Coturnix japonica: one gene and its partners. The protein of the gene in region 1 purifies or fractionates together with the protein of each later gene. This does not show direct contact. Links are inferred from orthologs where the notes say so. Each region holds a gene or a part of one and is shown in the gene's direction. Other genes may lie near its edges.

The links. Proteins that work in one complex are often made in the same cells at the same time.
Region 2: the proteins of CNOT1 (region 1) and CNOT10 purify together in Homo sapiens (affinity purification with mass spectrometry; 4 studies listed by BioGRID and IntAct, with this or other methods). This does not show direct contact. The link is inferred for Coturnix japonica from reciprocal best matches to the Homo sapiens genes CNOT1 and CNOT10.
Region 3: the proteins of CNOT1 (region 1) and OBI1 purify together in Homo sapiens (affinity purification with mass spectrometry; 3 studies listed by BioGRID and IntAct, with this or other methods). This does not show direct contact. The link is inferred for Coturnix japonica from reciprocal best matches to the Homo sapiens genes CNOT1 and OBI1.

Annotation. Positions count from the first base shown.
Region 1 is NC_029526.1:1,151,597-1,155,342, forward strand, and holds the start of CNOT1 (CCR4-NOT transcription complex subunit 1), read left to right. Parts: upstream 1-1,053; 5' UTR 1,054-1,188; intron 1,189-3,746.
Region 2 is NC_029517.1:37,319,718-37,323,415, forward strand, and holds the start of CNOT10 (CCR4-NOT transcription complex subunit 10), read left to right. Parts: upstream 1-823; 5' UTR 824-1,003; coding exon 1,004-1,025; intron 1,026-3,463; coding exon 3,464-3,555; intron 3,556-3,698. UniProt on the Homo sapiens protein: Component of the CCR4-NOT complex which is one of the major cellular mRNA deadenylases and is linked to various cellular processes including bulk mRNA degradation, miRNA-mediated repression, translational repression during translational initiation and general transcription regulation.
Region 3 is NC_029516.1:137,625,495-137,629,240, forward strand, and holds the start of OBI1 (ORC ubiquitin ligase 1), read left to right. Parts: upstream 1-1,125; 5' UTR 1,126-1,238; coding exon 1,239-1,310; intron 1,311-3,746. UniProt on the Homo sapiens protein: E3 ubiquitin ligase essential for DNA replication origin activation during S phase.

The DNA of each region.
Region 1 (3,746 bases):
GCTCAGTGTAATGCCTGGACCAGAGCCCTGCACTGTGGGGCTGCTGGGCTCCCTCCCAGCCCTGTGTGTGGAGATGGGGCTGCATCGTGCCCTGCCTCTGGGGTTACATGGCGATGGGGCTGTTTCTCTGTTTGCCTTATCACTCCTGTGGCTGTTTACAGACTTTTTAATGTATTTTCTTTCATTTTAAGTGCAAAACAAAACCAACCAAAAAAAAAAAAACAAAACAAAAACGAAAAGCCTGGATGACCTTGACTCAATAAAAGTGAACTTGTGGTGCGTACCTCAGGCAGGCCCAATGTGCTTTCTGCATCGCTGCGTTGCTTCGTGGTGGGAGAGACCTCAAAACTCCAGCAGGACCGGCTGTGGGGGCACAGCCCAGGGTGACGGGGCGGTTAATGTCCCAGTATTACGGTATGATTAAGGTTAGGAGAGCTCCGCCCCAAACCAGCCCGGCCCGTCCCCTCAGGGCCAGCACAAAATGGCGGCCCCTCTGGACCATACCACTGCGCCGCTGCTGGGGGGGGCACGGCACGGACCGCACCACTGCCCAGTGATGGGGGGGGGGCAGCGCAGTACTTTAGTCCGGCGCTGGGGGGCGTGTTGAGCGGGCCGTACCACCGCTATGTAGTGGGGGGGGGGGGCGGTTGGCAGGACCACACCACTGCGGGGAGGGGGAGGGGGAGGCAGTTGGGGGCTGCTCCCCCCGCCCGTCGTTCCCTTTGGCGCTGCCCGCTACTTCCTCTTCCTGCCTCGTGCTGATTGGCCAACCCGAGCGGCCAACGCTTGTTGATGGCCGAGGCGCATGCTCCAACCCAGGCACCCGCCGGCTCCCATTGGCCCGAGCGCTAGGACGGATTCCGGATGGCTTCGACCAATCAGCGTTCGCTCCTCACTCGGCGCTCAGGGACGGCGGAACGCTCTGTGAGGGTGAGGCGCGCCGATTGGTCAGCCTTCCCGTAGCCGTGCGCTCCGATTGGTGGAAAGCCGTGCGGAGGGGCGGGACCTTCGGCGCGTTCCTCCCCCTCCCCCCCCCGCTGTGGTGCCGCGAGGGGGCGGGGGAGGGGAAAGGCCGCGACGTGAGCGCGCGACCCTGTCCGCCATTTTGTAGCGCAACGGCGGAGACCAGAGGAGAAAAGCGCGAGCGGCCGCAGCCCGGCGCCTTGCTCCGGCCCCGCCGCCACTGAGGTGAAAGCTGCGGGCTGGGCCGCGGGTACCGGGGCCGTCCGAGGGGGGGAAGCAGTTGGAGGGGGAGGGGAAGAGTATGGCGGAGGTGCGGGGCCGGGCGGGAGGAGCGCGGCCTGTGAGGCCTGAGGCGTTCGTTGTGTGGGGGCCTGCGGCCTAGCGCGCCCTGCAGCCTCCCTAACGCTGCTCTGTGCTGACAGAGCGGAGCGGCCCGGCCCAACTCGGGCTGCCCCCCCCCTGTTCCCCCTTCACCCCCCGTTCCCCCTCCGCTTTCCTCCAGAGGCGGATGAGGGTCCTGTGTTGAGGCCCCTGGGCCGTCCCCTGTCTCGGGGTTGGCTGTGGAATCGCTCCTGCCCGGCTCGGTGGGCCCGGCTGAGCCCGCAGCATCACAGCGCCGCGGGGCAGGGAGCCGTGCTGCCGGGAGGGGCCGCAACAGTTGGCTGTGCTGCCTTGGTTGGATTAGTTCTGAGTCTTTGAGCGGACCTCTGCGAACAGCCCGGTTTCTGACTATCAGCAGATCACGAGTGGTTGGTTTGGGCTGATTTGTGCCTGTGTTTACAACAGAAATGAGGTAGCGTTAAAAAAAAACAACACACGGCTGGTACTTGAAGGCGTTGGAGCTCTGGAGCCGGTTGCCCAAGGAGCCTGTGGAGTCTCCTTCTCTGGAGTTACTCAAGGCCCCCCTGGCCGCTTTCCTGTGTAAGCTGCTTTAGCACGGGGTTGGATTGGAGGATTCCCAGAGGTCCATCCCAGCCCCTGCAGTTCTGTGATTAGTTTTTAGACACATCTCCAACTCACACCTGGCTCTGACCTTTCAGAAGGAAGTGTGCCATCTGCTCTCAATGAAACTTTCTTTTCCTCTTTTAAAGCAGGCAGCAACACAGGTGTGACCCTGATAAGTCGCTCCTAGCGCATGTAATTTGAGTGTTTCCTGTTTCTAAGGTAACCACATTGGCACTGACTGAATTCATAGGTGGGTCAAGCCTGGGTGAGGTGACTGTCACAACCAGGAAGCACACTGAGCTGGTAGTGAGTACATAGTGGAGTGTGACACTCTTTCTAGAGCGTTCTTCCCTGTGTGTGTTGTTTTCTGGCATTAGCCATTCATCCTATTGGCCTGCTTTCTTGAAGACAGGCTCACAACAAAATCACTTTATCACTCTCCTCTTTGGAGAAATACCTCATCGTGATTATCCATGTAGTGTAGCACAACCCAGAGTTTGGTTTAAAGTCATTTTGGAGTTGTTTTTCTCCTTACGTAGCTGCTAAATGTGTACTTGGGATTTGTTTTTGTTCTCCTCAGCAGTGAGGTTTGTTCCTCCTCCTCATCTGCTTCAGGTTAGTAGGGAGTGTTTGAACCTGTTGAAGTGTTTTGGCCACACCTGACTACTGGTTACATATTAGCCCTCTCTATCCTGTGCCTTTGGATTCTAGCCTACAATTGTATCCCACTTATACTGTAACCCAGCAGAACTTTGCAGCATTGAAGTGTTCCATGAGCTGCCCAGTCGTGTGTCTGAGGTCTCATTCAGTTACTCTATCGTAGTCCCTATAACTGCAAGTAGCAGTTTGGGTAGGAGGGTCCAGGCCTGATTGTTCCTAACCTGTCCAGGATGGAGATTTGCCCCAAGCTCTCAAAGCTGCTTGAATTCTTGAGGCCAGGGTGGGGGGATTGGTTCCGACTAAGAATATGCGCATCTAAAAATAAAGCCTGCCTTGCATAGCATTCATAGCTTCCTTAATCAGTCCCATAGAAATTTAAGTTCGGTCTTGCATACAATGGCCAGGGGGGTACCTGTGCCCTTCTGCTGTGCTGGGTTTTGGGTACTGCGATAAGTTTGGGCTATTGGAAGCTTTGAAGTGCTGTCAGTCTCCTGCTGGTGGGAAGCTGCAAGTAGCTGTGTACTGCGATACATACCACGCCAGCCATATATTTAGAATGTAGATAGGAAGCTGCTTCCTTCAGCTATTGTGTTCTGCCCTTGAATCAGGCTTTGCTTCTGCTTCCTTGGAAAGGAAAGCCCTGCTTTGACTGTAGTGTTGTGCACACAGAGTTGGTGGTCTCTGCTTTCCAGTGATGCTGTAGCTGGGCTGTGTCTGTGCTCTGCGGGGCTTAGTGCAGCAGCACGGAGGGTCAGGCTGTAGGCACGTGCTCTCCTGTGGCTCAGCCCAACTCTGAAGTCCTGGGATACAGAGGCTGATGTGCGGTGGGGTGAGTGTTGTTGTGCTTGTATGTGCTTGTATGGCCAAAGCAATGCCATTTCTCTTACTAGCAGCCAGAGATGGAAACTCTGAAGCTTGACTTATTGGCTGAAGAATGATCAGGTTGGGGAACTGCTGAGCAGCCCTATAACCTCTGTGCCCCTCCCCCCCCTTTCCTTACAGCTTCAGTGCTTCCACCCCTGGGAAAGGAAACAACAGGGCTGCATCCCAGAGCCGCTTCCCTTAGGATTCCTGCGACTGCTGGTTGTGCAGAACTTGCTTTGGGATGCAACCGTATCGTGTTGGCAATGTGTGATTTAACAGATGAGATGTCAAGTGCCAAGATTCGTGTTGTCATA
Region 2 (3,698 bases), on another chromosome or scaffold:
TTTCAATACCTGAAGGGAACTTACTCCCAGGAGGGGAGTAAACTCTTCGAAAGGGCTGACAATAGCAGGACACAGGGAAATGGTTTTAAGTTAAAAGAGTGAAGATTTAGGTTGGATGTTAGGGGAAAGTTCTTCACTAGGAGAGTGGTTAGGCCCTGGAACAGGCTGCCCAGGGAGGTTGTGGATGCCCCGTCCTTGGAGGTGTTCAAGGCCAGGTTGGACAGGGCCCTGGGCAACTTGATCTAGTAAATGTGTATGTCTGGTGGCCCTGCCAGGCAGGGGGGTTGGAACTACATGATCCTTGAGGTCCCTTCCAACCCGGGTCATTCTGTGATTCTGTGATTCTGTGTGATCTGTGATATTGAGGCCCTATAGTGTGTCCAGAGATGGGTAGTGAAGCTGTGAGGGGTCTGGAGCACAAGTCTTATGGGGAGCGGCTGAGGGAGCTGGGACTGTTCAGTCTGGAGGAGGCTCAGGGGAGACCTTATCACTCTCTACAGCTGCCTGAAAGGAGCTGTGGTGAGGTGGGGGTCAGCCTCTTTTCACCGGTAACAGTGATGGGATGGGAGGGAATGGCCTCAAATTATGGCACTGAGGGATGTGGTCACTGGGCATAGTGGGGATGTGCTGGTGGCTGGAATATGTGATCTTAGCCATCTGTCCAACGTTAACGATTTCATGATTCTACGATTCTAAGAAGGCTGGCAGACCAGCCTCACTCCGCGCAATGCCAACAACATGGCGGCCGGGGGGACGCAGCCAGGTTGCGAGGCGCATGAGCACGGCGCCCCTTCCGGGGGGAGGGGGGGAGCGCAGCGGCGTCGTGACGTCAGACGCGGTCCCCAGCAACGGCCGCACGTCGGTGGGCGCCGGCAACCCGGAAGCGGCGGGTAATAGGGACGGAGCGGCGCGTAGGGACCGGAGGGAAAGTAGTGCCACAGCGGCCCGGTGTTTGGTGGAGGAGCAGGGGAACGTCTCGTCTCGCGTGGCAACGGTGGCAGAGATGGCGGCGGACAAGACTGCGGGTGAGCGGGGGAACGGCCGTGGGCCCGGGCGGAGGGATACGCTCTGGTAACTGGTACGGAAAGGCCTGGAGGCTATGGCCGCTGGAGGTGCAGCTAACAGGTGTGAGATCTCGGCCTTCAGCTTGTAACCATAAAAGTGACTTTGCAGGAGAGCTTTGTTTAAAACACTTGTTCGTTTTTGTCTTTCTACATGTGATGTAGAGGCATAGTGAAGTCTGTAGAGCTGCCCTGATGCTTCCCTAGGAAATACACCATGTAGCTGTGTAAGTGGCACGTTTCCTGGGCAGCTAACAGTGTCTTTCATTTATTGTTTGCTTACCTAAAGATGTGTCACATCAAGGTTCAGACCTCTGTGAGCACCATATTGCTTGTTTTACCTGCTTACCAGACAAAGGCGGTACCCAGTGCTGCGGCTTTGCCTGGCCCTACCGAGAGCTAAACCTGTGTATGTGGGGAGCTCCTGGTCAGGCTGAGCATTAGAAACGTCCCAAGGTTTCGATTCTCACATATCTGCATTGTTGTTGCTTATGCTGGTGTAACCTTGAGGCCTGGGGAGCAAGTAAAGCAGATAACCTATCTGTTAGCATGATGGTGGGAGGGAAAATGCATTTATTTCTTCATTGCTGTTAAAAAAGGTCCTTGAAAGTCAGTGGGTTCTCTACCACAAATATTAAGGAGTCAGATCTATTACGTGGTTAGTATGAGGAGAGATGCTTCTTGTTCCTTTCCTCTCTGTCTGTGAGAAAACTGTGGCACATCAAAGCTTTTTGAACTTTTCTGATGTTTGTTTTCTCTCTCCTTATGGAAAAGGTTCCACTGGTGAATGCATTATCACAGAATGACCCGGGTTGGAAGGGACCTTAAGGATCATGTAGTTCCAACCCCCTGCCTGGCAGGGCCACCAAACATACACATTTACTAGATCAGGTTGCCCAGGGCCCCGTCCAACCTGGTCTTGAACACCTCCAAGGACGGGGCATCCACAACCTCCCTGGGCAGCCTGTTCCAGGGCCTAACCACTCTCCTAGTAAAGAACTTCCCCCTAACATCCAACCTAAATCTTCCCTCTTTTAACTTCAAACCATTTCCCTGTGTCCTGCTATTGTCAGCCCTTTCGAAGAGTTTACTCCCCTCCTGGGAGTAAGTTCCCTTCAGGTACTGAAAGGCTGCAATGAGGTCACCCCGCAACCTTCTCTTTTCTAGGCTGAACAAACCCAACTCCCTCAGCCTGTCCTCATAGGGGAGGTGCTCCAGCCCCCTGATCATCTTCGTGGCCCTCCTCTGGACCCTTTCCAAAATCTCCATGTCTTTTTTGTACTGAGGGCTCCACACCTGGACACAGTACTCCAGATGGGGCCTCACAAGAGCAGAGTAGAGAGGGACAATCACCTCCCTGCCCCTGCTGACCACCCCAATTATGTGCAGTCAGATTTCACAGTAGGTGTGTGTAGTTCTGTAGCACCCTCAGAGTCCATCCCTCCCAAGTACTAGAATTGCTGTACCCTGAGTTTTGTCCATTTCGCAGCCCATTGCTTTGTGACTCGCTGGTGAAAGATGGTTGAGTTTTAACATCTCAACTTCATGGGCATCATGATGCAGGGTGGAAGCCTCAGCAAGCAACAAATAGATTCTTGCTGAAATGTATGATTGTGTAGGATGGTGGAAAGTGTTTCCCTGCAGCAAATGCAACCCAGGAACTGAATGGTGACTGTGTTTTGATCCTGCCATGGATATTACATCGGGAATGTCCCTAGGCCTGGTTATTATTGTTGTCCATCCTCGTAAATAAACTTCAAGTGTTTGTAGCCAGTGAGTAGTGGATGATTCAGGTGTGTTGGTGCTTATGGGGAGTGTATTTTGTAGTGGAGATCGTAGAGGAATGTTCTCATTTGTTTGGTGTGAAAACAAAGTTAGCAGAGTTTGCATTACATCCTTTCTTTCTAGGAAAAGACAGACATTGAATATACAGTGCCCACCAAACCCATTAACATGGCAAAATACGGGCTCAAGCAAAAGCCTTGTTGTGGAATTGAAGAATTAATTATCTGCAGCAGTGGAAGCCATGGCAGGTGTATAATCTTTGTTTCAAAAACACTACGTGAACATGTGAGTTGAGGTTTCTAGATACAAGCTGGTCTGGTGTGGCACTGGTTGTTCTGGTTTTCCCTCCAGTAGTTTTGAATTTTATTGCAAAGAAATTGAAGACAATTAAAACCATGTTAGATTACTGTACAACTGCTCAAACCATCACAAATAAAACCTTACATGCTGGACTGGTCTTCATCTAGAAGGGAACATAGCAAAACTATAGTTGCAGCATTTTCTTAATGCTGTTCCCTACAAGCTGGCAGGAGGATCCTGAGAACGGGCACAAACAATGTTTTTTGAGCTGAATTACTTCTGTTGTGTTTACAAACTTTTCTATCATCCTTTGTCAGACCAAGGTGCTGAGAAGCACGATGGAGCTGGTACTTCAGGAATCACTGATCAGGAGAAGGAGTTGTCGAGCAGTGCATTACAAGCTTTTCTGGTAAGACACAGCCAAGCCCAAGCTTCTCTTCTACCACATAACTGCTAAACTGGTTGATAGAATTTTTTGTTCCCCAGTTTTCTTAGCATGGCGGAGAATGTATTAGCAAGTTATTATACTAAAATCAATGCTTGTATTACAAA
Region 3 (3,746 bases), on another chromosome or scaffold:
TTCCAGGGCCTCGATGTCTTTCTTGCAGTGAGGGGCCAAGTTGGAAAAAACGCAAAGGAAGGCTGAGGGGAATTAAACGTTAAAAAACAGCCAATGTATAGCGTGGCACAACGCAAACAAAGGAACAGAATCACAGAATGACCCGGGTTGGAAGGGACCTCAAGGATCATGTAGTTCCAACCCCCCTGCCTAGCAGGGCCACCAAACATACACCTTTACTAGGTCAGGTTGCCCAGGGCCCCGTCCAACCTGGTCTTGAACACCTCCAAGGACGGGGCATCCACAACCTCCCTGGGCAGCCTGTTCCAGGGCCTAACCACTCTCCTAGTGAAGAACTTCCCCCTAACATCCAACCTAAATCTTCCCTCTTTTAACTTAAAACCATTTCCCCTAGTCCTGCTATTGTCAGCCCTTTCGAAGAGTTTACTCCCCTCCTGGGAGTAAGTTCCCTTCAGGTATTGAAAGGCTGCAATGAGGTCACCCCGCAACCTTGTCTTCTCCAGGCTGAACAAGCCCAACTCCCTCAGCCTGTCCTCATAGGGGAGGTGCTCCAGCCCCCTGATCATTTTCGTGGCCCTCCTCTGGACCCTTTCCAAAATCTCCATGTCTTTTTTGTACTGAGGGCTTCACACCTGGACACAGTACTCCAGATGGGGCCTCACAAGAGCTGAGTAGAGAGGGACTATCGCCTCCCTATCCCTGCTGACCACCCCTCTCCTGATGGAGCCCAGGATCCCATTAGCTTTCCGGGCTGCCAGAGCGCACTGCTGGCTCATGTTGAGTCTTTCGTCCATTAGGGCCTCCAGGTTTTTCTCTGCCGAGCTGCTCTCAAGGACCACTCCTCCCAGCCTGTACAGGAACGGCAGACTAGGACCCAAACTGCTCTCCCGCAGCCTCCCTCCACCTAACGCCCCTCAGGGGCCACCTCCTCCACGTGGCACAGCGAGGGCCGGCGAGGCCCGGCGCTACGCGGGGGTACGGCCGCGAGGAGCCGTGGGGCACCATAGAGGAGCCATGAGGGAGCCGCCAGGTCGGCGATAGGGCTTCCCGCTGCTCCCTCCCGCCCCCCAGGGGAGCACTTCAAAACCGCGCGCACCGCCCCCCTCTCCCCCTCCCCAGCGCCGGGCGTCACTTGGCCTCGCCGGCTTGCCGTAGCGGGGCTGCCGGCGCGCTGCCTCCCTCCCGCTCGCTCTCTCCTTCGCTCGCTCTTCCGTGACTTCCGTACAGGCGGCGCGGCGATGGCGCAGCACGGCCCGAGCGTCACGCTGTCCCTCACTCTACCCATCACCTGCCACATCTGCCTGGGGAAGGTAACGGCCCCGTGGCGGCCGCTGCCCGGCCCTCTCCGCCCGCACGTTGCTCGGGTGGGGGGAGGAATGCGGCCGGCCCGCGCCTGCTCGGAGATCCCGCCGTGCTCTATACGAACAGAGGGGGCGATCCCATCTGGGGGTGGGAGGAATCGTGGCCCAGGGGCTGCCGGCACCGTGCGGGTGGGGGGAACCCCGCGGGACGTCCCTGCGAGCCGTGAGGGCCACGGGCCCCGAGACGCCACTCCTCCCCCTTCCCTCTTCCACACACACACATACACCGCTCGAAACCCGGACTGCGGGTGTATTGCTTTCGGAGTAAAGATTTTGAGGTTTTGTCTTCTGATAGCTATGGGAGGTGGGGCAGCTTAGAATGCACGGCAGGTATGTGTGTGAGGGCGGTGTGAGGCCAGGTAGAACAAAGAAGAGGTGTAGAACCCGTTCAGCAGAATTACAGCTTTTGGAGTAAACGTGATTTTTTGGCCTGAGAGGGTCTCTGTCACATTCTCGTCTCTCTCAGAGCTGCTGGGTGTGTTTGGCTCTGAAACACCCTGGAGCCAGCTGCCATTGCTGGCTGTTTTGTGGGTTCTTTTCTTGCTCCCTATCGTTTTGTATGTTCCCTCTTAAAACACATCAGCAATCACAAGTGAAGAAATAACCTTCATGTTTGTACTGTGGTATTTACCACCCTCTTTATTCTTCCCCCACGTGGGTGTGCCTCTGAGGCCTGTTCTGCTTGCCCACGAACCAAAGAGGTGTGTTTAGTGCACGCAGCAGGTATGGCACTGGTAGTGGTAGTAGTTGGACACCTCTCTTGATTCAGCTGTCCACCTCGACAGTGCTGCTTCTGTCAACCACATGTAGTCTTTTCTTGCTTTTTCACTGAAGGCCAAGCAAGGCAGGAATGTAGTCCTTCTCTCTCCCTTATCTCTCCTTTTGAGTTTTTAATACAAACAGAGGAGAACATAAGTTTGCTGTGCATGTAATGCAAAGTGGATGCTCTTTGAAAAGTAATTTAAGTCTGATTGTGGTGATTTCCAACATAATCTAAATGTGGATGCCCCATCCTTGGAGGCATTCAAGGCCAGACTGGATGTGGCTCTGGGCAGACTGGTTTAGTGGTTGGTGACCCTGCACACAGCAGGGAAGTTGAAACTAGATGATTTTTGTGGTCTTTTTCAACCCAAGCCATTCTGTGATTCATTCATACTCTGCTGTAAGCCCACTTGCTCATTTCAAGCCATTGCTTCATTCTTTCTCATCACTTCTGGAACTGACCAGGAATTGAGGTAGTTGAGTTTGTACTGGAAGAGATTTCTGTACTTTTCTTTCTTGGTATCTCACACTTGAGATAATGTCTTGAAATTATGTATGCGAATCCAGTGATGACATCTATATTGAAGACTTTTGGATACTTCCTTTATCAGATGCATTAGGTTTTGCCAAAGCTGTCTGCTGTGGCTGTCCTTTTTCTTTTAATACAAATCTTTGTCTCCAGCTTGAAACACCACAGAAAAGAATCAGAAAATAACCCTTCTCTTTTCAAGAGTACTTTTAGAGGGGAATAAAGAGCTATCTAGCATGAATAAGGGAAAATCATACTATCTTATAGAGTAGAGCAGAAGGGGGTTCTGGGGCTTGACAGGTTTTGGTCTTTGGTATTTTGTAACATGAACTTCAAATGGGATATAAAGCCAACACTGCAGTCAGGACATACTTGTTGCTATCTCCAAAACTTGTAGAGGATTAGTGGCAAAACAGTGGTTTCACTGTGTATAGTGGTAAGGGGTTAAAAAGAGGTGTTAAGTAGAAACTCCAGTATTGTCATCCACATGCTGTATCTAAGGAAGCAGAGTTCTTTTGGGGTGAGAACATTAGTGGATTTCGTTAGCACCAAGTATATCTGCAAGATGAGTGAATAAACATAAAGAATTAACTGCTTTTTTGTAATCAATGTTCTTTTAAGGTAGTCTGGGCTAACTTCTTATATTCGTAATTGGCAAGTAGATCAGAAGCTGCATGAGTTCTTCAGGCATCCCTGTTGCAGGTTGACTGAAGGTCTCATCAGATTGATTTTAGCAGTGATTTGCTTGGGTTCAAGCATGAGGTTCTGGGTGCACTGAAATCTCTGAGGGTGTCCAGGGGTTCATTCTCTGATATCAGTGTACTTATTTTCCACATGCCTGCTCCTCAGTTCATACTGCTTGAAGGTCCAGAAGAGCCTTGAGTGTGGTGTAGATGTATATGGGATTAGATTTTGATCCATGTAAGAATCACATTGTGTGGCAGGAAAAAATAGGACAATACTCAAATTCTCCTTAGCTGATCAAGCCTTTTCAAATAAGCTGTAGCCTTTCCAGTCACTGCAGTCAATTAAGGAACTGAAAACGTGCTGTAATTCAAGTAAAATGCTTTTTAGTAATGTGTGTTGTGATCCCC